7 linked regions of the Rattus norvegicus genome follow. The protein of the gene in region 6 binds, or shares a complex with, the protein of the main gene of each other region. Links are inferred from orthologs where the notes say so. Each region holds a gene or a part of one and is shown on either strand. Other genes may lie near its edges.

Region 1 (4,258 bases), on a different chromosome or scaffold from region 6:
GCTGGGAATTGAACTCAGGACCTCTGGAAGAGAGTCGGTGCTCTTAACCGCTGAGCCATCTCTCCAGCCCCAAATTTATTCTTTTATATTACGAATACACTCGCTGTCTTCAGACACATCTGCTTCTAACAATATTTTAAACACTAAGGACTGGCTCAGTGGTAGGACTTTGCCTTGCAAATGCCTTGGGTTTGATCCCTAGCAAACCACAAAACCACAACACACACACAATCTGGTGCTTCAGCTGAGGGGGCAGTTTGGAGTTCAGATTTCTGATTCTTCATTCTTTCACCTAGGACTTCTCTATATCAGGTTATTACCATAAAGGAAGGAACACACAGAGAGAGAACAGAGAGAGGAGGGGGCTTCTTTTATTATCTACTCCTGCTCAGGAACAAAATTTCACACTTCACTAAATGTTTTTAATGGAGAAAAAAAATCACCTAGACCCAAAGCAATGGCAACGCAGGAAGTTGAGAACTATCAGAGGGAGAAAAGCTCAGTGGCCTTCCTTCCCAAATCCCTGACCAGGGGAGGGCTGCAGGCAAATGTGTGGTGGCATTATCTCCAGTCCTACCACTGAAGTTCTGCCCCCTTCTGGTGGTATGTGTCCGATGGGGCTGTTTTCACAGGAATCTATGTGTGCCTGTCTGGGTTCTGACATTTACTTATGATACCTCTTTCCACCTCAGAATCCTGGTGAGCGGGTGCTGCATGCTGTAGTTCACTCAGGATCAGCCAGCCCTAGGGCAGGAAATGAGCTGATCCGCAAGCAAATCCACAGCCATGCCGGATCCCATCGATGGGAAGTGGAAAGCCAAGAAGTGGGCTGTGTTAGCCAGCCAACAATTGTACTCAAGTGTCTCAGATTCTATGCAATATTTTGGGGTGGGGGAGATCTCGCTATGTAGCCTAGTTCTCTCCAAAACTTCTGAGCTCATGATGTTTCCTCTAGGCTCAGCCTCAGGAGCGATAGAGACTATAGACTCTCTCCATCCCGCCCACTTCCCTGGCTAGTTCTAAGCCTTCCCCTAGAGTAATCCCCTTTACTGTCCCCAAACCCTCACCCAGTAGCCCCAGTCTTGGACCTTTTGCTTTCTTTTGAAAAAGCCCCTCGATCTGTTAGAACGAACACCTTAGAGGATCGCCCAGCCAACAGCGGTTGTTGCCTAGCAACGGCGCCACTAGCCCGCCCACGTGACCAGCCCGAAGGCCCTCCCTTCGGGCTGTCCCAAGGCGCCTGATCAGATCCGAGACTCCTCCGACCGTGCGTTTTTCTGAAACAGTTCACGCTTCGTTTTGAGGATCAACAAATTGGCTTTTCCAGTTTCTGTCTCCAAGCCAAAATTCCTCGAAGCTGCTCCTCAGGCAGAGGGCTGTCCTGCGAGGCGAGGCGATCCGGCGACGCGCTCGGGGTCCTTCCTGGCGACGGGCGCCGGCGTTGTCGCGGCGTGCGGCGGAAGCGCGGGCTCAGGCGGCGGACTAGTGGCCCTCGGCTGATCAGGCGGCGGGTGAGCTGGCCGGGAAGGGTATTCTCAGGGGTTGGGGAACCAAAGAAACCCGAGTTTGGGAAGAGGCGAATTATGCCTTTCGCTTAATCAACGCGTAAATTGAATTCTGGCGTGGGGAAGGGAATGAAAGACACCGACCCCCAACACACGCTCACACGGTCGATTCCAGCGTTTCCGTGGTCCCCGGCGTGGTTAAGATCCTGTGCCTTAGTAGAGGTGGCGCTGTAAATACCCAGACCCCTGCCACTCCCCCTTCTATCGGTCCCTGCTTCACAGCCAAACTGTGTCCGTCTTCAAACTATTCTGCATCCAAGCTGGCTGTGATAGCTGGTGCCTAATTCTTCCTCGCTGGAGATAGAGGCAGGAATATTGGTGCAGGTTCAAGGCTAAGCAATGGGTCTGGTTCAAAAAGCCAAAACAGAAAAGATTTCAGCATTCCTTTGAGGATCTGTGTTGTAGCGGGAAGATGCAGTTCTAGTATTAGGGACTAGCTTTACTTAACTAAGCATGTAACTAATTCATCCTCCCACCCCCAACAAACAAAACTAGCAAAACGTATTGAAGGCCTGTTTTGTCCCAGACACTACTGTCATTTTTTGCTCCGATTTTTATTATTAACGTTTGTCAGTAGCAGATATACACCCATGTATTCCTAAGTACTACTCAGGCATAACCTTGATTTATTAGGCTGGGGGTGTAACTCGGTGGAGAAGTGTGAGGCCCAGAATTTGATCTTAATCACCCGACCACACACTAAGATTAGTGTAAGGCTGGGTTGACAGGTGTATGTGGAGGGATTTTTAGCGTGGCAAATAGGTGACATTAAAGGAGAGGGGTGAGTTAAATGAATTAAGATATAAATAGCCAGAGGACAATGGGAATGACAATAGCCCTGAGGCAGAGATGAGCTTGGCTTGTTGAGCAAACAACTTTCTTTGAAAATTTGTGCCATTTTCTGGTGGGAGTCTTGAGCATAATTGTGGTGGCCTCTTAGAACTAAAAACAATAGTTACATCAGAGTCTCCATAATGACTGACATTTAATTACCAGTGATTAGCACTCTAATTCTGCATTTTATTTATAGTCATTCCTCACTGAGGTATTCAGTCTACAGTAAGAAATAACAGAATTTCAAAACTGAACATTCTACTCAGTTAACCTTACTCGGTGTCTGTTTGTGCAAGGTGCTGCCTAGGGTTTTGGCGTGTGAACACATGCTCATGTTTTATGTTAACCAACATTTGTTATTTGTATTTTTTTGGGGGGGGGGTTCTTTTTTTCGGAGCTGGGGACCGAACCCAGGGCCTTGCGCTTCCTAGGCAAGCGCTCTACCACTGAGCTAAATCCCCAACCCCTTTATTTGTACTTTTTGAGACAGGGTCTCTCATATCTCAGGATAGGATCGTGGGTATAAGCTCTCATGCCCAGCTAATCTTACGTTGTGTGTTTCTCTGTGAGTATGTTTGCAAATCTCTCTGGTGAATGAGGATCAGGTGTGCTGTGGCTTGCAGGCAGAGGTCAGAGGACAACCTTCAGGGTTTGTCCCTCCACTCCTGACCTGTTTTGAGATAGGATCCCCTCGTTACTGCCAACACCAGACTGACTGGCTCTGAGCCTCAAAGAATCTCTGCCTCCCATTTCCTGTAGGAAATCGCAGACACTCACACTACCAGATGGGGCTTTTTCGTGGGTTTCCAGGATTGAACCCAGGCCGTCAGACTGCATAGCTAGGTACATTCATCGCCTTTCTAAGGTCTTAGGCTGTGATAATTCACTCTAGGGAGGTAAATGCAGTTCCACGAGTTAACATCATCGTTAGAGATGAGGCTGAGATACGATGATGGAGTGAGGTCGATGGAGCGAGGTCTTTAACTCCAGGGGCCTGATGCTTTTCCCCTGCTTCGGTTTTTGTTGCTCACAAACTGTAGAGGAGTTGTTGGTGAGAATAACAGTAGTCACCTAGCATTTGGGACAGAAGATACTGAAGAGAGTGAGAAGTGAGAGGCTGAAGGGCTAGGAAAGCTTGAAGGGTGGGATCTAAACTGTTCCTTTGAGCAGGATATCAGTCACTGAAGTGGGGGAAAAATCCACTGGAATTGCAGACAATTGTAAGCTAATGTGTGGATGTTGAGACTCGAACCTGGGTCCTTTGAAAGAGCAGTAAGAACAATGAGTTCTTAATCATCACTAAGGGAAAATGAGTACTTTTATAACAAGCATGTCCGCTGTCAGCATAGTTGAGGGCACAGCGAGAATCATCAGTGAGGAATGGTGTACCGCTAAGAGCAGATGCAAATCCACACGAAGGGATTGCTGATACAAAGCATTGCTTTGTGGTCTGAAAATGTCAAGTCGTGAAAGTCAAGACTAGAAAGCCATTCTAGATTAAAAGGATAAAGATACCTCAGGGTGTGTACAGTCCTGGTTTATGTCCTTAGCTGTATAATTCATGACTGGAACAGTTTTTCAACTTGGCATTAGGTAGAATAACCTGCTGGTATTGATGTTTTTGTTTTGATGATTGTATTGTGATATTTTGAGAACTTTTTTTTTAAAGTAAGATGCTGGAAAGATGGTTTAGAATTTAAGAGTAACTTCTAGGCAGCCATGAAGACTTGGAGTCAGATCCTAGCATTCACATGGCAATCTTCATGTTCCCAAAGGATCCAATGCTGTCTTTGGAGACATGTGTATAAAATTATACATAGACAAACAGACACACACACACACACACACACACACACACA
Region 2 (4,012 bases), on a different chromosome or scaffold from region 6:
GATATGAATTCACAGGGGAATCCGGTCCTCTTTGTGTTTAATGGACGAGAGAGTCATCATCTAACACTGCACTCTGCAAACAGTGAAGCCCTAGAGCTGTGTCCACAAGCACTTGATCCAGCTCCTGTTTCCTACTGGCAAGCAGTACCTGTGGTGTTCCGGGCCCCGTCCTTCCATGTGTCTGGAGTGATAACCCTGCCGAGTTTCTTTTCACCTGTTGTAGCAAGATAGCAAAAGAGTACAACTGTCATCTAATACACACACTGTGTGGAAATAAAATAACAAAACGCATTTCTCTGCTAACGTTACAATAATAATTTAAAATAATAAATATACTGTATTATGCCTGAAGTACATAATGACATGAAAAGTGAGACTACAGTAGGAACCTACTAACACCAGGGTAGAAATCAATGAATGAATGATAGCAACTGTGGGCAACAGATACTGGTTCTAAATAAAACTTCCAGGACAACAAGATGCCCTACCAACAGGTTCCACTGATTATACTTTAAACAATTCTGACAAACGTATTCATTTCTCCCACATTCTCTAATCACCTAGTCTGTACAAAGCACTGTGGGAGGTACTGAGGAAAACAAAGCCATGAGTCTAGATTCAGGGGCTTAGACCCAAGTTCACGAGCTCCTTAAGAGCTTGTAGGCTGATAGCTGGGAGGAAACGAAGCAGGCGGGACTGCACAGAAACCTAGAGCATGTGCTTATAACCTTTTCTTGTTCTGACTGGAGCCTTTCTGAAAAGTGAAGAAGCCTTCAGTAGAACCATAAGCTGGAAGCCTGAGCTGTGAACTAAGGAGATGGAGCTTAAGTGTTGGGAAAGTAGATGAGGAGATGAAGTCAAACAGTAAATAAAGGACACATCCCCAGGTCAGGCATGGGAAGCTCAGGGGTACCACAGTGCACAGAGTACTCTGGCGAGCTCAGTGTGAGGTGGGAGAAAGGAGGTTGGAAGGATAGCTTAGGTGTTTGTCTGTAGAGGGCCTCGGACGTCAAGATCCAAATGGACAGTTACTTCTTAGAGTTTAAGTAGGGAAAAGGTCAGGTGGAGAGGTGAACTGGATACTCAGTGGTATGGATGTGCTAGCTGAGGTCAACCATTTCCCAAAGATCTAATGGATCAAGAGAAACAAAGCAGACCAAGACAAACACCCTGGAACCCAGTAAATGGAAGAGAACTCTAAAAATTTGGAGACAAAGAACTTTTTGAGCAACTTATGACAGAAGGAAAGGCAGAACTGAGGTGGCTGCCTGACAGTACAGCTTCTGTATGAGCAGGAGTTCAGTTTACATACAGGGTGAGTGTAATGAGCACACAGACTAGGAGGTTACAAATAGTAAAACATTAGATTTTTCAGAAGAGCAGAGGAGTAACTATAATAGAAAGAAATGGCCTTTTACTGCACAGCACAAAGGACAGGGTCATATCTACATTTAGGCCACATTTAATTAAACACTTTCCCCACTTTCAAAAAGAATAAAAAGCTGTTTGAGAATGGAGCTGATGAAGGTAGCTAGGAGTGGTCTTCCCGAGGGAAGGGCATACCAATTGGTTGTCCAGTGCTAATGGTCAGCCCGGAAACATACATCCAAGTAACAATATATGAACTGAGCAGGCTGCATTTATAAAACAACTATATACATGTATGCATTCAATACAATTAGTGAAAAAAGAGGTCAGGAATTTGATGGATATATGGGAGAGTTTAGAGGGAGGAAATGGAAGAAAGAAATGTTGCAATTATATTATCTCAAAAATAATAAAGAAATAGAATTTACTGGAAAAAAAAAGAATGGTGGCTGAGTCTGATGCCACAGCTACTAGGTGGTGTCTGTGTCCAGAGTTCTATGTACTGTGGTTGTATATATTAGCCATTAACTGAGATCCAAGTTGGAATCTTGTCAGAGAAGGCTGTCTAGCCCAAGAAAGAGATCAAGAAAAGAAAGCTGTTTTAAACAAATCAACAGCTTTTGCAGTAAAAAACAAAAAACAGAAAACGAAAAAACAAAACAATAAGTATTTTCAACAAATCTCAGGGGTTTCATTGGAATTACTGAATGGTAACTTAAAGAGTTAAAAAGACCTTTCTAAAAGCCAGGGATGACTACATAGATTTCTTTGGTGGTGATGAGACTCTCTCCTTCACCTGACCTAATGCTGTATTAATGAACTGACGGGATGGTATAAGATATTCAATTAAACTTAATTTCAGATGACCACTGAATTAATTTTTAAAGTAAAATCTGTATTAAATGCGGCATGTTTTGTAGTAAGGAACAGCGAACAAAAGCCAAGATTTAAATATTATGCGGGACATATTAATAATACTAGAAATTAATCATTGCCTATAATCTTATAATGTAACTGAGAGCCTGGGATTTATATTTGTTACACCTGGCAACTCTAGATGCTACCAGAAAGATTTTTAAGTCTCTGGGATCCTGTCAAGAAGTTATAATTAAAGAGATCCAAGGAGGGCGCGAGGACGGTGACAGAAACAAGCATAGATGTGCAGAACTGAGACCATTCTGAACACAAAGCATAGGGCTATAGGGTCCCGGGATAGGCAAGGACCGTGGGGCAAGGAAGGAAGACAAAGGTTATACTACAGACCGGTGAGAAAAAACAAAGGCCGAAATCCCAAGAGAATTTCGTCGGGTTCCTCCAGCCTCCACCTCCCACAGAAGCAGCGCCTTAACTTACACTTTTCACACACCATCCTTCCACGGGTCGTCCTGTCCCCCTCAACCCGCAAAGCAGGAGCAGCTGCCAAAATACATCAACAACACAGCTGAGAAGACTTCCTCTTCCGGTTACGTCAGTTCGCTTCCGTACTCAGCCCTCCCGCTCCGGCCTATCCAGGATGGAGAAAGTCGCGGGAGGGATAAACGCGAGCTCATGGGCGGGGCTTCCTTTATCGGTCCGCCTCTTCTCTTCAACGATTGGCTATCCGCTTGTGAGTCCCCCGCCTTCTGGTCTGCGCCTGCGCGAGGGGCCATGGCAGCCTGTCGCACCTGAGGGTGGGAGGCGGTGGTGTCCCCTTCCCTTCGGCGGGCGGGAGAGTTAGGTAAGCGGGAGGGATGCTTCCTAAGTTCTCCTGGGGCAGGTGCAGGTCGCTCTGCGGACTGCTGCCGTGGCTTCCAAGGCGCCACGCTTCCGGCGGGCCAGAGGATGCATGGCGCGACGGACCCTCTGAGATCCCGGCGTCTGTCGGCGGGACCGACCCTCTGTCACCGTCTCTCAGGTTACCGGGTCGGCCGCCCGGGCTCTCTCTGATGATGCCCCTCAGTTGCCCACACTCGCGCTGTCCGGGGTTGGGACAGAGTCACCTGGGTGGGGTTGAGCCGCGGTCAGCGCCCGGGCAAAGGCTGCTCAGGAGGGTTCGGGAGCAGCCATGCCTTCCCACCGGGCTCTCGTGGGATCGCGACTCCGAAGGGCGGCTTCCCAGGTGTGGCGTGCTAGGGAAACTCGCCCGCCGGTGCCCGAGGAAGGGCTCCATTCAACCGGCCTTTGCGTTTGGGCACGGCTCGCCGTGTTAGATAGGGATTTGCAGGTGGCCCAGAGACAAGCTCTACTTAGAGGATGGATTTCTGATCCCCCTACCTGCCCGATCCCTCAGTGGAGGGGAGAATCTGAGAAACTTTTCCGAAGTCTTTTCATTGTTATCCGTTCTTGTCCGGACCCCGGAGGGTGTCTTCATGTTAAAGAGGCGATACTTGAAATGGCTTTAGTGTGTGTAACCTTGGCCGCTTCTGCTAACTTGTTTAGCCGGTTTGCTTAATCAGTACCATATTTGCCTTTGAAAACGATAGTGTGAATTAAATGAGGGCAAATAGGACAACGCCCAGACTTGCACTTTTACGTTCCCTGTTAATTTCTCCTCCTTTTGTGTGGATGTTCCTTTTTGGGCCGGATTTTTACCACATTGTAACAATTGCTAAAGTTCTTAATTAATTTTAGTCAATATAACATAAAAAATGTTCTTTAGGTCAAA
Region 3 (4,155 bases), on a different chromosome or scaffold from region 6:
CTTGCTGAGTACTGGTACTAAAGGAGTATACCACCACACCTAGCAAGTTGTTACATTTGCTTGTTTGTTTTTAAAACAGGGTTTCTTTGTATAATCCTGGCTGCCCTGGAACTTGCTTTGTAGACCAGGGTGGCCCTGCAGTCAGAGATGTGCCTGTCAAGTGCTTTGATTAAGATAAGCACCACGACTCATGATGAAGTTTCTACATTAGTAATGTTATCTTTCAAATGGCAATTGTGAAAGCTGGCCTAGTTAATCTGGGTAACATAGGCCCATGTAACTAATCATTAAAACTTGGATCATAAAATAAAAGAATGACTCACAAGTACCCAGACTCTGTGTGTGTGATTTCTTTTCTTTTCCTTTTCTTTTAATGTGGGTTCTATAACATGTGTCTTTAATTCCAGCACTCTACGCTGAGCCGAGGAGACAAAAAGGTTCTCCAGAAGCTTACACACAGGCCAGCTAGGCTGACATAGGCAGCATCACACAACAAAAAGACACTGCCTTAAACTAAGTGGAAGATGAGGGCCATCATCTAAAGTTATACTCTGAACCTTCTAATGTATGCAGTGGGACAACCATGAAACTGAAAGACCCCCAAACTTGGGGAGACCCTCGCTCCAGTCATGGGTTGAGGTGCCCCCAAGAAACGCGAGTAGCCGGTCTTGATGTAACAGCAAGAGGTAGCGTTTATTAACGAGATCCCAGACCGACACTTATCTCACACAGGAGACAGAGGAATCGGCCCCGAGCCTCTTCAGGCAGGGGTTTATATAGGAGAAGCCAGGGGGTTTCGCATGGTTATCAGCAAGGGAAATGGGTACAAGGTCTCATCTGCAAGCAGTACGTGCGGGCTGGGGTGTTCTCAATATAGGAGAACGTCTTATCTTTATCTGTAGAGCAGGGAGTCATACGTCCGGATGGCCCCCTTCCTGGAACAATCCCTTGACCTTGTTTTTAGGCTTGGCCGGGCACATCTCAGGCCAGCTCTGTCCTGTCCCCTTATCTGCTGTTCTTTTGCAGTTTTTATGAAGTTTTTATTTTAACTCTTCAAAACAAGACACACACACACACACACACACACACACACACACACACACACACACACACACACCTCATGTATATATACACAATTTAAAAATATTTGTTGAAGGAATGAGCTCCTGTTCAGAAATGCTTTTACTCTATGAATGTGTCAAATCATTTCCTACAGTAAACAACCAGTTCCAGCATAGCTAAAGACTCATATGAAACCCTCTTTTATTTCTTAAAAGTGTCAAACAACTAAGTCTGGGCATGATTCACCCTTACTTATGCTCAATACCTCTCAGAAGCTAAAGAAAACATAGTATTAATTCATCTGCCTAGCTATTCTTTCATAGTGCATGAACTCCACAGTGTATGTGAAGCAATGTTCTAGGTCAGTGGCTCTCAATTCCTAATTCTGTGACCTTTTAATACAATCCCTCATGTTGTAATGACCCTCAATCATAAAATTATTTCCATTGCTATCTCATAACTGTAATATTGCTGCTGTTATAAATCCTAACATGAATATCTGATATGTCGGATGTCGGATATTCAACCCCTGTAAAAGGGTTATTTGACCAAAGTGGTCACAAACCACAGGTAGAGAATCACTGTTTCTAGATGTTTATCTTCACTGATAGTGTTTGCATTCTATATAGGAAAGAAACAAAAGTAATATACTATTAAATACTTGGAAATTGTTGAGACCCAGGGCATCACTGAGATTTGCTATTTTATAGGCCTCTTTGTTAAGAGTGACGTTTGAACAGATAAAATAGCATACTAGAGAAATGAACAGCAAAAGTTAAGGTCCTGCATTGGGGAATAAATGGTCAGTCTATTTTATCTCTACGAGCATTTATTAGTTAAAATTAATATTGTCCTCTAGAAATATAGCTCGGTATGAAACCTATCAGGGAATCGATTCCCATTCCTACCCAGTAATATTCCTCACTCCCCCGCTGCCTCTGACAATTATCTCAAAAGATATGTCCTCCAAGATGTTTTCCCCATCATTTCCTGTTTTTCACTCCGCCTTACTATCATGGCAATATAATCTTCTTCAATTCTTCCCAACCAAAGGCAGGTGTGTCGATGCACGCCTGTAATTTTGAAATAGGGAATTAGCAGCTAGCCATATATATATATGTGTGTGTATATATATATACATATATATGTATATATGTATATATGTATATATGTGTATATATATGTATGTATATATATATATGTATATATATATATTTGTGTGTGTGTGTGGGTGGGGGTGTGTGTGTGTAGCACACCAACCTTGCTTTGTATCATCAGCACCTAGTAGAGTGCGTTGTGCCAAGGAGGCCTTCAATAAATGATGGTAGAGAATGCGCGACCTCCAAGTTAAACAACTAAAAAAATGAACAATCTTAACGTAAGTCTTAAAAACAACAGACACTAGAAGGCGCTCACGTGAGTTGGATCAAGGAAGTTAAGGGGTCAGAAGACTAGCGAATAGAGAAGTTGCTCAATAACTCTCAAAAATACGCTGAGACATGTCACTGTAAATAGTATAAATGCAACAGTGGCCATAAGCATGATGTGGAGGGCAGTCCTTTTGGTCTTTCAACTCCCTTGCCACCCCCAATCAGGTTGCTCTTAATTAGGATGTCCAGGTGGTAGAGGCTCTCACCTTCCCATTCGTGGGCGGCTCCTGGATGTAGATGTTACTCATCTTGCTCACTGCTCAAGACTCCGTTCCTTAGTGTGGCCGCGAGCGAATGGCGGGTCTCTGACGATGCCCACCTGTTAGTAGACAATTCTTTACCTGGGTACTTGGGGAAAACTTTACTCGGTCAGAGTTAGACAGGACAACCGTACTAAGCACTAGCTACTCCCCCAAACTATCCCCTCATGGACGTCGCCATGTTGCTCCCGGATCGCAGCACCGCTAACTCCGGGAGGGGGGATGTCCCTGTTCTTCAGGAAACTAGAAAAGACTATAAGACCTCTGCAACTTTAGAGAATTTGTCGTGTCATTCATAATACTAGCTAAACGGCCAATCCGTAAATCCGGGTGCTGCGTCCAGGTCCGGTGTTTGCAGATAGCACTCACCTCCGGAAGCTGGCCGAAATGGTTCAGACCACGTGTGCTCCGCGGTAGGACACCCCTGGAAACTGGGTCCGCAGCTTCTTAGTTCCGCCAACCCTGGATGTGCATCCGGCCTTCTCCTGCCCTGTGAAGTTGTAGTGACCGGGTGGGAGAGATCCCTCTGCTAGTGCGTTGTCCTCGCTAAGGACCTGAACGAAACGCGATCTCGAAAGCTCAGGACTCCGGTGACCCCACTCACCTGCATTATGGCAGTCCCAGGTGAAGATCAACCGCAGGGCTCTCTCACTCCAGAGGAATGAGGCGAGCAGGGGAGTCCAGGACCGGGGGTGGCAGGGAGCACTTGGGGATTCAGGCGAAGGCCTGAAAATTTAGAATCGGTTGATTTACATGAAAAAGTTTACACTACAAGTTCAAAGAGGGCTGGGAAAGATCATCTCTGTCATTCTTGTGCAAGCCCAAACTGCACAGGATTACAGGGAAAGTGTATTGTAAGAGGGACAAGAGAGTTGGTGACAATGAGAACTGTAGGCCTAAGGGGACAAGTTGCCCGTAAGACTGTAACTTTCACTGAATTTCAAAATAAAATTCGAAGTGTGAACTTTTGGCGAATCCAGGTGGTACATTGTAGTGAAAGTCATCCAGTCAAGAAGTGCACCTGGGGCTTGTCCTAGCTCTTCCAGCCTTTAGTTACAGTGTAGCTGTAGGCCGGTTTCTGTGCCCTTCTGGGGCCTCAGTTTCCCTCTTAGTTTCAAGAAGGCGCTTCCTTGAATTGTATCAAAGATTCTTTTGTAGGTTCCACTTTGGTGTTCAGAGGTTTCTAACCTAGACACGGCACACTGGGCTCCGGGGATGTTTTTGTTTGCTGCTCCAGTTTACTGGGGAGCCTCAAGAACTTCCCCAAGCCGGCCTTGTCAGAATGTGTTTCTGCAAAAACCCTAATATCGGGCAGGTGTTTTTAAGAGATATACCCACCTTACATCTCCAAGATTCACAATGCATAGTACTGTAGGAAAGGCCCTGAAAATATTTATGAAGCC
Region 4 (2,613 bases), on a different chromosome or scaffold from region 6:
GTGTATACATACAAAGTTATACACATTTAACAAGAAAACATGCCCTAGGAAATCATGAAGACAAGAAACATGAAATTTAATGCTATAGTTGCCTTTTCAACAAAGTAAGAAGGAGGCAAAATAAGACCAAGGGAACAAAATTTTTTTGTTGGTGCTGTGATTGTGACGGTGGTAGGAGCGGTGGCTGAAGCGAGGGTACTGAGCTCAGGGTCTTGGATATGACAGACAGGCACTCTTATCACTGAGCTATATTCCTAGCCCTATTTCCTTTTCTCGAGCTCTCATACCTTTTTCTTCTCCTACTGATTATTGGGCTGTAAGTTAAGAGTTTTCCAGGTGAACAACAATAAAATTAATCCTTTGCCCTTTAAATAATCTATTTTCAAGCAGACACATTACAGATTACTATGCGGGCAATATCATCTAAAACCTAAAGATTAATTTCACTGTTCCACTATTTATTTATATCTTATTATAAAGATATATTTTTATTTATATCTTTAAGCCTGAAAAGCTTCTGTCATTTATTCTATTTCTCATTTTCATACTTTTCTGAAAAGGCAATTTTCCTCTGATGATTCCTTCTGTATGCCACTTACTTAGAATTTCACAATAGCTTATTTTTATAGAATTGGTCACCAGAATTTTTTAACTAGAAAATTTCTAGGAGCCAATATATTAAGTCACAGAAATCATAGACTAGATATACATGGCTCTGTCTTAATTCCTAAAGCCATGATGAAGCTCCCAGTTCCCTTACACAGCACAATATCCAAGAGCTGTGTTTCCAGTCTCTTCATTCTCTAGTGTACTAGAACAGATGGAAAATATGCATTAAAAACATCTGCCAGATAAGGGGGCACAGACCCATGTTTCTGGAACAACAGTTTGCTAACACACAGAGAAAAGGAATGATTCCTGGCAGGTGCATGAGACAGAAAATGTTTTCCTGGAATCATTTCCTATCCAGTCTGCCTGAGTACTTCTACAACCCCCACAGTACACCCAGCTGAGCAGTACTATTCCTGCAGCTATAAACAGAAGGCAAAAAAGTGAAGCCTCATCTACCCACAGGACAAGTCCAGCCAAAGACTACACAGTGAGCTCACTTACCTTAATTCCATTAAAATTGTCAACGGCCAGAACTGTGCTCCTCTGATCTTCATAGCACAGGAAACAGAATCCTTTGGATTTCCCAGTCTTCTTGTCTCTCACAAGATTAATGTTGACAATCTCTCCATACCTATTTATTTTATAAATGTTTTATTCATTTAAAATGTAAAAGCTTTCATACTGAACGATCAAACAAAACTCATATAATAAAATACTGTAAATGACATAGTAGATTGAGTATAGAGTTAAACTTGTTAAAAATAAACTCTAATATCTATACTATATACTCAACAGTCACTGTAATAAAACTAGAAATAATATTTTAAACAAAATCCTGCTACTGGAGCGCCAGAGATGACTCCATAGTTAAAAGCATTGGCTACTCTTCCAGAGGACCCAGGTTCAATTCCCAGCACGCACGTGGATGCCTACAGCTCTCAGTAGCTCCAGCTGTACAGAACCCTCTTCTATCTCTCAAGATACAGAAATGCATGCCAGCAAAAACATCCATACACTCTTTATAATTCTTAAAAAACCCACTGCCAACGTATAACTTAATAGTTGGATGAACCAAAATTTAAAATGTCAAGGGTATACCATTTAGACATTTTAAAAACATTAAAAATACACGAAATTTTGTAGGATATAATCCAGCTATACTCAGGGAAATCTGTAGGCCTAAAAAATTTGATTCCTTAAAAAGAATGAATATAAAATAAAACAAACCTAACAAAGACAAGCTTTAATAAAGACCAAAGCTTTATAAATTAAGTCTTAAAATAAAACAGAAATTGACCTATAAGTTACATGATTATACCAATCCAAAATCTAGTATGTTTCTCAATGCAAAATAGTGAATGTGATTCAACTAAGATGGAGAACTAGTTGACAGTATAATGAGGTACAGCCAATGCAATTAGATAAAACGGATAACAGAAATGGAGAAGTAAACGTGTCTCTGTTTGCAGATTATATACAATAGTATATATAGAAAATTAAACAGCATCACTGATAAACAATGAAAAAAAGCAATTTGGTAAAATACCAGGACAGAGTTAAATGTCAGTCACCCTTTATATACAAAAAGTAATCAGAAGATATAATGGAAGGGAAATCCCCTTCATAACAGCAACAAAAAAGGACAAAATACTTAGAAATAGACCCAATATATAAACACTATACAAAGCCTATATGAAGAACTCTTTTAAATCTCCAAAACACATAAACATACATTTTTAGAAATACATTCTTTTTCTTAGATAGGATGACTCACTATTAGAAAGCTGTCAAAATCCCCCAGAAAGTTAATAAAAAATATTAATATAATCCCAATAAAAACCCATTTAACCCACTACCTTAGTGTTAGGTGACTTTAATCAAGATCAGAACTGGGTGGTGTTGGTACATGCCTTTAACCCCAGCATTTAGGAGTCAGAAGCAAACAGATCTCTGAGTCAAGGCCAGCCTGGTATACAGAATTTTACAGGAGAACCAGGGCTA
Region 5 (4,017 bases), on a different chromosome or scaffold from region 6:
GGTTACCATGCTGCTATTAAATATGATAAGATACAAGCTGGTCACAGCAACCCAGGGCTGCAGCCATAGTGTCTATGAGTTGGAGGCAGGAGGATCGAGAGGGCAAGAGAAGTCTCTGGATAGCAAGTTTGAAGCCTCCTGGACTACAGAAGATCTTCTCTCAAAAACCAGACAAGAGCTAAAGAGATGGCTTAATGGGTATGAACACTGGCTGCTCTTTGAGAAGACCTGGGTTCCAATCCCACCACGCACATGGCAACTCATAACCTATCTGTAGCTCCAGTCTAAGGGAATCTATCACCCTCTTCTGGGCATCTTGGAGGTCTGCGTGTACATGAGACACAAAGATACATGTAAGCCAAAACACCCAGATACAAAGAATAAAATGTAAATGATAAACCAAATAATAAAAAAGTCAGCAAAATGGCTCGATGGATTAAGACACAGGCTTAAGGTTCACTCGTGCTTATTAAACATAAAAGAAAAGTAGAACTCGCTGTTTTGCTTTCAGTGTTGTGTAGAGAATTATTAAAAGACTAAATACTACCTTTACATAAAAGGTACCACTATTGCTTAATAAATCTGAATAGTATTTCTATACACATAACTTATTTTTCATATATTTCTTTAGTAAAACGTTCGTGCCACATTGAGGACAAAATTATATGCTGTAATCTGCACGATTGTGCACACCTAAAATCCTGACACAGGCTGTGTCAGATGATTGAGCACAAATATTTTTTCCTCTACTGTCAGTTAGCTGACACAGGGGAGAGTCTTACGGAAACGAGTCTAAGATGAGTTCAATAGGACAGCGAGCGTTACCCCAATTTCTCAATACAGAAGAGAAATCCAGTTAGTTACTAGACATGCCAACTTGCTTGAACCTTCAGCTTCCTTGTCCAGAAATGGAGCTCTTTAGTTTCCATTCCTTGCAAGCCTGCTGCCTGCCTCACAGAACGGCTGGTATGAGAAACCAAAAGTATTACAGAAAGGGACTTTTAACATCATACTTTTCGGGGGTTCAGCCTTGGCTCTGTAGTACCTATAGATGTGTGGAACCATAGTTCGCACGCGCGTGTGCCTAGTCGGTCAATGGAATTCGTGACCCGGATGTACTATCGTCCACAAACTCCGCCCAGAAGTCTTGCGTAATAGCCGGAAAGTCTCACTTTTATCGTGCGTCCCGGAACCGGAAGGAAGTCCGTTTCGTTTCTCCGTCCCGTACGTTTGTCCTGCGTGGTACCTGTTGGGCCAGAGCGGTTTGCACAGGCGGTTCGCACCGTGAGGAAGAGTGGAACCCTGAGTTCCCGGAGCACCGGCAGCCATGGCGGATGTGACTGCCCGCAGTTTGCAGTACGAGTACAAAGCGGTACGTGTGGTCTCGGAGTAGGATTGCGGGCAAGGGAAGTCGTGGATAGTCACGAACACTGATGGGGAAATGAGAGCTGGGTGAAGGATGTATTAAAACACGACGGAATATCCTTAGTGGAGATTGAGGGACGTGAGAATTTAGGAGTCCCGTCCCCCCCTCCCCCCGCTAAACTGTCTCCTCGTTACCCCTGATCTGCCCAACATTTTTCCCAAATGTGGGCTATTGTGGATGTTGTTAGGAACGCTGGTCGTTCACCTTATCAGATAGTACAGTGCTCATGCATAGTGCAATGACATACTATTCTTAAGAGCATTATTCTTTTATTCCAATGTTTTTCCATTTTCTGGTGTCACTGTAATAACAGGATTCAAAAACCATATGTCAAAGTTTTGATAAAGTATGATCTTTTCAGAACTCAAATCTTGTGCTCCAAGCTGACCGCTCTCTCATTGACCGGACCCGCCGGGATGAACCGACAGGAGAGGTTCTGTCCCTGGTTGGGAAATTGGAGGGAACTCGAATGGGAGATAAGGCTCAAAGGACCAAACCACAGATGCAGGAGGAAAGACGGGCCAAGTAAGTACCAAGGGGATGCTTTTTTTTTTTTTTTTTCAGCTAATGTAAAGCCCATCTTTAGCATTAGAGCAGTAGTTTTGCTGAAGTTTGTATGGAAGATCAGTGATGTGTGTGCAACATAGCAGAAACCTCTTCAAGGTTTAAAACTTCTTTGAACTTAGGTGTAATGAAGTGGAACAAAATCTATTGATACCTTTTACTGACATATTTCCTATTCATAGATGTTAATTTTCTTCAGTGTGTGTGTGTGTGTGTGTGTGTGTGTGTGTGTGTGTGTGTGTGTGTATGGGGTGGGGGTGTTGTGCACATGCATGCAAATGCCTATGTGAAGGCCAGAAGATGGTTTGAGATCCCTTGGAACTTGAATTACGGGAGGTTCTGAGCTACCCAATATGAGTCTGAAAACTGAACTTGGGTCCTCTTAGAAAGCAGTATTGGCGTCAGACTACTTGAGCCTTCTCTCCAGTTGGCTATCTGACTATTTCAGGGCTCTAGTTAATCTCCTCTGAGTAATTCAGCTCCTACTATTTCAGGCCTCTAGTTAATCTCTCAGTAATTCAGCTCCACCACATTGTTAGAAACTTTTCTCCCCAACCTTTCTTCTTTTGTTGCCTATCACTTCCTGATGATTTCTGTCAGCTTTTCATGTTGGTGGATTCATTTCAAAAGTTAAATACTACTTTGTTTTGCCTGCCTGCCTGCTTGTCTGCCTGCCTTCCTTCCTTCCTTCTTTCCTTCCTTCCTTCCTTCAAGACAGGGTATCTCCATCTATAGACCAGGCTGGCCTTAAACTCAGATCCATCAGCATCTGTTTCCCGAGCACTGAGATTAAAGTCATGTGCCTCCACCTTCCAAAAAAATGTGTTTTCTCTCTTTTTCTCTATCTCTTTTTTTAAAGATTTATTTTATGTATATGAGTATACTGTAGCTATCTTAAGATTGTAGCTGGGCTGGGGATTTAGCTCAGTGGTAGAGCGCTTACCTAGGAAGCGCAAGGCCCTGGGTTCGGTCCCCAGCTCCGAAAAAAAAAAAAAAAAAAAAAGACTGTAGCTGTCTCCAGACACACCAGAAGAGAGCATTGGATCCCATTACAGAGGGTTATAAGCCACCATATATTGCTCGGAATTGAACTAAGGACCTCTGGAAAAGAAGTTAGTGCTCTTAACCATTGAGCCATCTCTTCTTGGCCCTGTTTGGTTTGAGTGGTTGTTTTAGAAGAGCTCAAATATTGGTCTTTCAGTTTCCAGAGCCTGACATCTTTTCTAGTTATTTATTGGGTGTCATTAGAAGTAGATTCCACTGGAGCCTAGTTTCTCTTACTACTAAAATGTGATGGGTGTAGCTAAGGCTAAAAAAAAAGGAAATAATATTCCATAGTTTCCTCATGTGGTTATAAAAGTAAATAATATTACATAGTCTCCTCATGTGGTTATAAATAATATTACATAGTCACCTCATGTGGTTATAAATAATATTACATAGTCTCCTCATATGGTTATAAAAAGGTGTACATTTAAAGGTAATGGAGACCGTGTTTCATTGTAACAGCTTATCAGATGATGTTATATTTTCTTTCTATAAGAATGTCCCATATGAAGTATCCCATAAATGTGGGACATAAAGAAGTGCTTCTTCAAATAATTAAGGTCTGGTAGGAGCTATTTTTTTTCACTCATTTTCCTGCCTTCACAGAGTAGATGTATAGAAAGGGTAAGCTTTGCTCGGGAATGGAAAGTCCTCCCATTCAGCCTCATGTTTTCTGTCCTTTAGGAGGAGAAAACGTGATGAGGACCGACACGACATCAACAAGATGAAAGGCTATACTCTGCTGTCAGAGGGCATTGATGAGATGGTGGGCATCATCTATAAGCCCAAGACGAAGGAGACCCGGGAGACCTATGAGGTGCTGCTCAGTTTCATCCAGGCTGCTCTCGGGGATCAGGTGAGGCCACCGAGGAGGAAAGAGGAAGGGCATAGAGGAGTTTTTTTTTTTTTTTTTTTTTTTTTTTTTTTCTTTTCTTTTTTTCGGAGCTGGGGACCGAACCCAGGGCCTTGCGCTTGCTAGG
Region 6 (3,500 bases):
CACACACCAGCCCCATCCTCCCCGAAACACTCCAACCACTTCCCACCACAGTACTCACCTGTCCCGTTAGGAACACCAGTATATCCCCAGGGGGCTGGGTCACATGGATCTGCAGCACAGACACCACACAGGCTTCCAGGTAGTCAGCCTCTGGGGCCTGGGAAGGAGGAAGACACAGGGTCACAGAAGGGCCACTTGCTCAGGCAGGCTCTTGTCCCTGCTCAATGCCCACCCCTCTCTGGGTGTCCATTAGACCCTTCCATTGGGACATCCTCCTAAGCCAGCCCCAGCTCCTCTGCCTCACACGGAAGCCCATCCTCCCGAGGGGCACCTTGGTATAGAAGATGTCAACTGGAAACCTGCGTCCAGGGATTCGGAAGACAGGGGCATCATCGAAGAAGGCAGAAAAACGAGCAGTGTCCAGTGTGGCCGAAGCCACCAGGACCTTGAGCTCAGGTCGGAATCTAGCAACATCTTTGATCAATCCAAAGAGAATGTCTGTGTGCAAGGTCCGCTCATGAGCTTCATCCACCATCACCACACTGGGGAGAAAGTGGGAGATTGGTGAGGGACAAGCGGCAGGGGCTTAGCAGTGCAGGGCTGGATCAAAGAGAGGGATGGAGGGACCTCAGGGGGAAAGGGGACTGAGTGGGAGGAGGCTAAGGAGAAGTCAAATGTTCCAATTACGTAATGTTGGCAGATGGTGAGCATGGTGGGGGGTTCTGTGATCTGCGGCCCATCCGGGCACTGGCCAAGAGAAGCAGTCAGGACGGGGCTAGTAACATGGCTCAGCGGTAAATGTGCTGGCCACCAAGCCTGCCGACCTCAGTTTGATCCCTCGAATGCACATGGTGAAAGTACAGAACTGACTCCTATAAGCTGTCTTCTGATCCCCTACATGTCCACACATACACACACACAAATATATACACACGTGCACACATACACACACACATATACACATACATATATACACACATATGCACATGTGCGCACATACATACATGTACACACATACACACATACATATATATACACAACTGCATACACACACATACACAAATGCACATACATATATATACATACACATACATACACACAAATACATACACATACGTGTACACATACACACACGTACATACATACATACATACAAACACAATTGTATACATACACATATACACATACATACATACATACACACATACATACATATATACACACCATAAGTACACACTCATACATACATACACACACACACATATACACACACACACACAATTCTTTTTCAAATATAAAAGAACAAAGAGGCAGGGAAGAGTCTAGATTCCTTTAACCTAGGATTAGAACAAGTCAGACATCTCTGGATCAGTCAAGAGACAGCTGTTCTCACTGGAAGAAGTGGAACTAAGAACTTAAAGCAAACAGTGCATGGCCTGGTGGCTCTTCTTGTACTCTCAGCAATGTGACCCACGAGACTGAGGCCAGCTAAGGTTAGATAGTAGATTCCGGGCTAGCCTGGGCTACAGAGAAACCCTGTCTCAAAACACTAAGAACAGATAAGGGCCACCTGGACCCATTAGAATAGAGAGAGATTAAAGGAAGCGAGAATCTCTGAGGGGGAGGTGGGGCATCTTGTGCAAAGCATACACACACACACACACACACACACACACACACACGCACACACACACACACACACGCACGCACACGCACGCACGCACACGCACACACACACGCACACACACACATGCACGCACCTGTAACTTGCGAGGTCAGGCTCAGAGAGGAACTCCCGGAGTAGCATTCCATCTGTCATGTAGCGGAGAACAGTTCGCTCTGATGTGCAGTCCTCAAACCGGATGCTGTAGCCCACCTGGTCACAGACAGTCAAGAGGTTGGAATGACCGATGACCAGACCTGAGGTGTGGGGCCATGCCAGCAACGTAAGAAGCTTCCCTCTCACGAATCCCCAAAGACCTCACCTCATTCCCAAGCTTCACCCCCATCTCCCGGGCCACTCGGGCTGCCACACTCATGGCCGCCACTCTCCGGGGCTGGGTGCAAGCAATCTTCATACCCTTCTTGGTGTAACCCTAAGAGGAGAGAAGGAGGGGTTACTCCTCTGTTAGACATGCTGTTGTGAGCCAGGCAGGGCAGGGAAAGGAGAACAGATGGGATGAAAGCCAGAGAAGGACAGACAGACAAGAGAGAAGCCAAGGGCCCCCGGGGATGCTAAGCCAGCCTGCAGACCTTGGCTTATAGGCAGGGCTCTGCTGGACTTGAACTGACCAGGGACAGATTGGCCGAGGCATACCCAGAAGCAATGGGAGACATGCGGTTAAACAGTAGGAAAACACCTTTTACTTTTAGTTCTCTGGCCCCTGCAGAGGGAAAGCAGGGCCGAGGTCGTGCGGGATGGAAGCCCAAGAGGTTCCAATCTATGATGCTCATCTCACTGCTCCCATGGGAGACCTGCACGTTCACAACTCGTACCAGGTATGGATGTGATGGCGGGGAGAACAAAATGGTAGAAAGAGTGGCCTCGTCAGTCTCAAAAGCCTCATGACTTAGCAGAAAGGACAGGAAAGGACATCTTTACCATCACACAAAGGGGGTCTCCCAGGACTGACTCAAGGGCTGAGTGGGCCCTAAGTGACATGCTGTAACGACTGACCTCCTCAAAGAGGTACTGTGGGATCTGTGTGGTCTTCCCTGACCCAGTCTCGCCCTCGATGATGAGGACCTGATGGTTGGCAATGGCGGTCAGGAGCTCCTCTCGGAAGGGGAACACTGGCAGGCTGCGGCGCACGGCCTGGATGGACTCCTTCTGCTGGGCCTGGGCTGACAGGGGCGGGCCTGATGACGGCTCCTGAGGAAAGGACAGAGGTGCTGAGGTCCCCACCACCTTGAGAGGCCCTCCTGTCATTACCCCGGACTTTCTCCCTCTCACCTCGTCGCCCTGGAGCTGAGCGGCACGGACGAACTCGATGGTCTCGTCCTCCTCCAGCACCAGCTGGTACTGGGGTTCCTGGGCAGCAGCGTCTCGGGCCCCAAACTTGAGGGATGCGGCGTCCAGACGGGCCTCCTCCCAGCGCCGCTGCTCCTCGCCCGGGGCCCCTGATTCCTCCTCGACGATGTCGGTGGCTCGAGCGGGCTACGGGGAGAGCAGCCGAGAAAGCTGAAGAAGACCCTCCCCACCACTGCTTCTACCAGTTATGAACAGGAGAGGGAAGGGAGCAGCCACCACACCGGTTCCCTCACCTGTCCTCGAGTCTCCTTGGGCATGTGGTAGCGATTAGTGGCCTCCAGCTTCTCCTGCTCGCCAGCCGCCCGGTACTCCCGAGCCAGGTCCCGCACACGCCGCTTGTACTTGAGCTCCCGGCGCTCATGGCGGCTCAGCTCCACGTCCCCAAACAGGACCTCCTCATCAGCCAGTTCTGCCTCCAGGTCCTCCAGCTTTTCCCGCTCCCGCTTTGCCAGGTATTCCCGACGAGACT
Region 7 (3,993 bases), on a different chromosome or scaffold from region 6:
TTAGCTATCCTAAAAAGAAATGCATAACTTAAAGAGAATGCTAAAGAAATGCATAAGTTACATGGTTCAAAAACAATTAACAAATAGCCACGCCACATACACATAAAAATAAGAGAAATAATAATGTTTAAAAAAGAAATGCTGAACACCTATGCTGAACCAAGCACTGTAAGTAATTAAGTACTTCTGTATCTACAGATAATGATTAATGTTTATTGAGCGATTACTCCATGCAAAGCCACAAGTGTGCCACTTAAATTGACATCTCATAACCATCTCATGGTAAAACCAAGGCACCGGGAAATTCTGGGTCACATACATTCATCTATAAAACTAGGATTCAACTCAGATGGCTGACTCCAAAGCCAACTGTATCAGGGTCTGTAGAGATACAAGGCGCTAGAGAATCTGCTCTCTATACCACGAAGAGTTGCCCACTTGGTAAGAAAAGGCACATGGCCTTTTGAAGTCAAGTGATTTTGTGGTGGACTAGGAGTAGCGAACAAAAGAAACACAGGGGCTGGAGGGATAATTAGGTGGGTGATAAGAGCACTTGCTGATTTTGGGAAGAGTAGATTCAAATCCCAGACCCATTTTGGATAGCTTACAACCACCTGTAACTCCAGTGCCAGAGGATTTGAAGCCCTTTTCCACCAAAACATTTATAAATGGCAAAAGCCAGAGAAGGATATGGTTTAGATCATGTTAATGATTAAAAAGAAAAAATGGCTAACATGAGCTAGGGAGACTGCTCAGTTGAAAAAGTACTTGTTTAAGCTTGAGTAGCTAGGCTCAGATCCCTAGCGTGCACATAAAAACTAGGCACCGTACTGTGCCTATAATCCCTGTGCTGGCGAGATAGAGAAGGTAAGACCACTGGAGCCTGATGGCCAACCAATCTAGCCATGAGTTCTAGTTTCAATAAGGGTCTCGTCTCAAAACATAGGGTAGAGTACACTGTAGTGGTACATGTCTTTAAACCTGGTGGGGATGGGGAGGCAGATTCAGGAGGAAGTTGAGTTCTAGTCAGCTGGCCTACATAGCAAGTTTTACACACGCAGGCGTGCACCCACCTACAGTCACACACTCCCCCACCCAAAGGGTTAACATAAAATAAAGCATTGTTGACTTCAGTCTTATTGGAATACAAGGTTGATTAACATAGAACCATACTAATAAGAACTGTCATTACTAATATTTACTTTTTGTTTTTGTTTTTTGGTTTTTTTTGTTTGTTTGTTTGTTTTTTTGGAGACACAGTTTCTCTGGGTAGCTCTGGCTGTCCTGCAATTAGCTCTGTAGACAAGGCTGGCCTCGACCTCAATCTACCTGCCTCTGCCTCCCAGGTGCTAGGATTAAAGGCCTGTGCCACCACTGCCTGGCTCTAATATTTACTCTTAATAGGAGGTACCAGTCTAATCCTTTTACATAAATTGTTTCATTTCATCCTTCCTCAGTGAACCTCAAGAAGTAGACCTTTTTGCCCTGTGGATTTTAGGAAAAGAAAAAAAAATGTGCTTGGCAGGAATAAAATTCTCCAAAGTCAGGAAGCCATAGGACTGGAAATGTGCTTCAAATGTAATTCCTCATCTCCCAAATCTACCACACTCCAGGTTCAGAAACCATCAAGCACAGGATGGGAAAAGTGTTGTAAAGTCAGCCTTTCGAACATCAGAAGGAAGAGCTGGGATATCATTCACTGTTAGAGTGACTGACTGCATATGTGAGGCCTGGTAAAAACTAAACCAGAAGGCGAGATGGGGTGTTGCACACCTTTGGACCCAACACTCGGGAGGCAGAGACAAAGGGTTCTTTGAGTTCAAGGCCAGCCTGGTCTATCGAACTAATTCCAGCACAGCTAAAGCTATTCAAATAAACCCTGCTCCCCAACCCCCAAATCAGGAAGACTGAGAGTGAGAAGTGCTCATGTGATTTGGGTCTGTTTGGGAAATCCTGAGGCCGAAATGACGGCAACAGGAATAGAAGACGCGAGTTCTGCTTAACTTGTACATACCTTGCACTTTGTAATTTCACAAATTTAATGAGATAAACTTCTGTAAAATCTTCTGCTGGGTATTCATCTAGAGCATTATACTGTTCAATCGCACCATAGAGAGCAAATCTCTCAACTAATTCCTTCATGGCTCCCACTGCAGGAACTCCTTGTATTAGTAAGTACTGAGACTCCAAATTGATGGTATATACCTAAAGTCGGGGGAGAGCCCGTTAAACGTACTCTTCAAACAAGCCTATGGCAAATCTGTCTTCCCATCCCTCTTTTAAATGGAGCTTTGAAAACAAGAAATACTCTGCTCAATATGGTCTGCAAAACATACACACAAAACTGTCACTCTTTCTGCCTAAAGAATAACACACTCCACATAAGGGTATCTGACTAAACAGACGTCTTTTCCCAAAGTTGACCCCAGAGAAGCTAATGTAAACAGTCACTTAACAGGGCTTGTCCTGTGAGACCTTGTCCTTGTATTATAGGATGCAAAGCTAAAAATCGTGGAGTAAGCAGTAAACCGACAACAGCGATAAACTTTGTTCCTCGTGCCCCCTCCACTGAGAGATGGACTTGACAGCATCCCTGCCGTGCCTTTATGGAGGCAGGCCATGGAGAGCTAGTGCTGACAGGAAGTTAATGCTCCTGCCGAGGAGAGAGAAGGAACCCAAGTCACTCTACCTTGACCGCGCGAGGGCGTCGGCCCTCCCTGTATTTGGCCCGCGAGTCACACACAGCTGTCTGGACGTGGTGGTCGAATATGCCACCGGGTTTCCCGTCACTGGAGGCCATCTTGCCGGCTTCAAGCCCCCGCGCCAGAACAACATCCGCCAGCGGTGCTCCTTTGTGTCCAATGAGAGAGCAGTATGGGCCAAGCGTGTTAGGATTGGCTGGAGGATCGACCCCATCGACGATTGTTTCCGGAGAGCGAGACTTCGACGAGCGATGTGCCGCCCCCTAGAGCCTCGGAGGAGCGATCCGAGAGTGACAGCGGTCAGGCGAGTGAAGAGGGGGGCGGCCCCGATCGATGTTCTCGGGCTCCGACGCCCTGGCCTGACGGGAAGCCGGCGGACTCGGCTCTCCGGCGAGAGTTGAACCTTGGGACAATGTGGAGCAGTGATCGCTTAGCCGGTGCGGGGTCTGGTGGGGCGGTCGTGACGGTGGCCTTCACGAATGCTCGGGACTGCTTCCTCCATCTGCCACGGCACCTCGTGGCCCAGCTTCACCTGCTGCAGGTAACGCGATGACCGGACGCGGACACCATCGATGTCTTGTGGGACTAGTGTTCGCTGACACCTTTCCCGGTCCGGACAGTGTTTGCCACCGAACCCGCACTGAGGCGTGAGCGAGGGCCCTCTGCGGGCATGGCGTGGGGAGGCAGTGTGTGCACCTACACCCCGACTAGTGCATCCCCAGACCCTACTGGGCACCCTTTTAACTCGGTTAAACCAGACTGAACATACTAGGGTTCTGCCTCAGCATTCAGAAGCGGTCCTCACTCTAGGATGGAAAGCTCTAGAGAGCTCTTACTGGTTTTGCTAAAGCGTTATCCTGCCAACAAGTTGCCAGTGCAGCCATAGAAGCATTGAGTGGCAGACTTGATTGGTAGATTACCAAGGTTTCCAACCTGTGCCAAAGGTTAATAAAGTGACAGCTCTCCCTGCTTAGGAGGACTTCGGACACCACAAGGGGTGGGGGGGTGACAAGGCAATGGAATTATTCACACCTCGTACTTTCACCTGCGAAGCCAGGATTACTCCATCGGTGGAGAGACAGCCTCCATGTTTTATTAAGAGTGAGCACAGACTCTCTAGTTTGAGTGTATTCATGGGGTTAGACTATTTGAAATCTAAAGTCCTAGGTGCTTGGTAGCGGAATACTGGCTCATAAAAGAAATATCCAAGAGTTTGAAATGACTTGTATTCCACCTTTATTTCCTCTTTGATTTATCTTGCTTTTACAGTCCGCCTATCAAAACACACCAA

What was found.
Region 1: Dhx16 (region 6) and Eftud2 share a complex: the UniProt entries of both Homo sapiens proteins name them as parts of the minor spliceosome. The link is inferred for Rattus norvegicus from reciprocal best matches to the Homo sapiens genes DHX16 and EFTUD2.
Region 2: Dhx16 (region 6) and Cript share a complex: the UniProt entries of both Homo sapiens proteins name them as parts of the minor spliceosome. The link is inferred for Rattus norvegicus from reciprocal best matches to the Homo sapiens genes DHX16 and CRIPT.
Region 3: Dhx16 (region 6) and Cwc27 share a complex: the UniProt entries of both Homo sapiens proteins name them as parts of the minor spliceosome. The link is inferred for Rattus norvegicus from reciprocal best matches to the Homo sapiens genes DHX16 and CWC27.
Region 4: Dhx16 (region 6) and Rbmx2 share a complex: the UniProt entries of both Homo sapiens proteins name them as parts of the minor spliceosome. The link is inferred for Rattus norvegicus from reciprocal best matches to the Homo sapiens genes DHX16 and RBMX2.
Region 5: Dhx16 (region 6) and Snrnp200 share a complex: the UniProt entries of both Homo sapiens proteins name them as parts of the minor spliceosome. The link is inferred for Rattus norvegicus from reciprocal best matches to the Homo sapiens genes DHX16 and SNRNP200.
Region 7: Dhx16 (region 6) and Rbm48 share a complex: the UniProt entries of both Homo sapiens proteins name them as parts of the minor spliceosome. The link is inferred for Rattus norvegicus from reciprocal best matches to the Homo sapiens genes DHX16 and RBM48.

Annotation. Positions count from the first base shown.
Region 1 is NC_086028.1:88,343,358-88,347,615, reverse strand, and holds the start of Eftud2 (116 kDa U5 small nuclear ribonucleoprotein component), read left to right. Parts: upstream 1-1,458; 5' UTR 1,459-1,511; intron 1,512-3,163; exon of another isoform or gene 3,164-3,242; intron 3,243-4,258. UniProt on the Homo sapiens protein: Required for pre-mRNA splicing as component of the spliceosome, including pre-catalytic, catalytic and post-catalytic spliceosomal complexes. Component of the U5 snRNP and the U4/U6-U5 tri-snRNP complex, a building block of the spliceosome.
Region 2 is NC_086024.1:13,340,135-13,344,146, forward strand, and holds the start of Cript (cysteine-rich PDZ-binding protein), read right to left. Parts: upstream 2,801-4,012; 5' UTR 2,738-2,800; coding exon 2,722-2,737; intron 215-2,721; coding exon 149-214; intron 1-148. UniProt on the Homo sapiens protein: As a component of the minor spliceosome, involved in the splicing of U12-type introns in pre-mRNAs. Involved in the cytoskeletal anchoring of DLG4 in excitatory synapses.
Region 3 is NC_086020.1:37,706,539-37,710,693, forward strand, and holds the start of Cwc27 (spliceosome-associated protein CWC27 homolog), read right to left. Parts: upstream 2,801-4,155; 5' UTR 2,741-2,800; coding exon 2,699-2,740; intron 1-2,698. Other genes in the region: protein SREK1IP1, read left to right, coding at 3,364-3,376. UniProt on the Homo sapiens protein: As part of the spliceosome, plays a role in pre-mRNA splicing. Probable inactive PPIase with no peptidyl-prolyl cis-trans isomerase activity. As a component of the minor spliceosome, involved in the splicing of U12-type introns in pre-mRNAs.
Region 4 is NC_086039.1:132,769,395-132,772,007, reverse strand, and holds part of Rbmx2 (RNA-binding motif protein, X-linked 2), read right to left. Parts: intron 1,244-2,613; coding exon 1,114-1,243; intron 1-1,113. UniProt on the Homo sapiens protein: Involved in pre-mRNA splicing as component of the activated spliceosome. As a component of the minor spliceosome, involved in the splicing of U12-type introns in pre-mRNAs.
Region 5 is NC_086021.1:134,880,956-134,884,972, forward strand, and holds the start of Snrnp200 (U5 small nuclear ribonucleoprotein 200 kDa helicase), read left to right. Parts: upstream 1-1,217; 5' UTR 1,218-1,327; coding exon 1,328-1,372; intron 1,373-1,787; coding exon 1,788-1,951; intron 1,952-3,721; coding exon 3,722-3,893; intron 3,894-4,017. UniProt on the Homo sapiens protein: Catalyzes the ATP-dependent unwinding of U4/U6 RNA duplices, an essential step in the assembly of a catalytically active spliceosome. Plays a role in pre-mRNA splicing as a core component of precatalytic, catalytic and postcatalytic spliceosomal complexes.
Region 6 is NC_086038.1:2,873,252-2,876,751, forward strand, and holds part of Dhx16 (pre-mRNA-splicing factor ATP-dependent RNA helicase DHX16), read right to left. Parts: coding exon 3,265-3,500; intron 3,158-3,264; coding exon 2,954-3,157; intron 2,873-2,953; coding exon 2,678-2,872; intron 2,569-2,677; exon of another isoform or gene 2,361-2,568; intron 2,097-2,360; coding exon 1,986-2,096; intron 1,877-1,985; coding exon 1,761-1,876; intron 543-1,760; coding exon 332-542; intron 158-331; coding exon 59-157; intron 1-58. UniProt on the Homo sapiens protein: Required for pre-mRNA splicing as a component of the spliceosome. Contributes to pre-mRNA splicing after spliceosome formation and prior to the first transesterification reaction.
Region 7 is NC_086022.1:31,512,734-31,516,726, reverse strand, and holds the start of Rbm48 (RNA-binding protein 48), read right to left. Parts: upstream 2,801-3,993; coding exon 2,690-2,800; intron 2,206-2,689; coding exon 2,015-2,205; intron 10-2,014; coding exon 1-9. Other genes in the region: peroxisomal ATPase PEX1, read left to right, coding at 3,115-3,243. UniProt on the Homo sapiens protein: As a component of the minor spliceosome, involved in the splicing of U12-type introns in pre-mRNAs.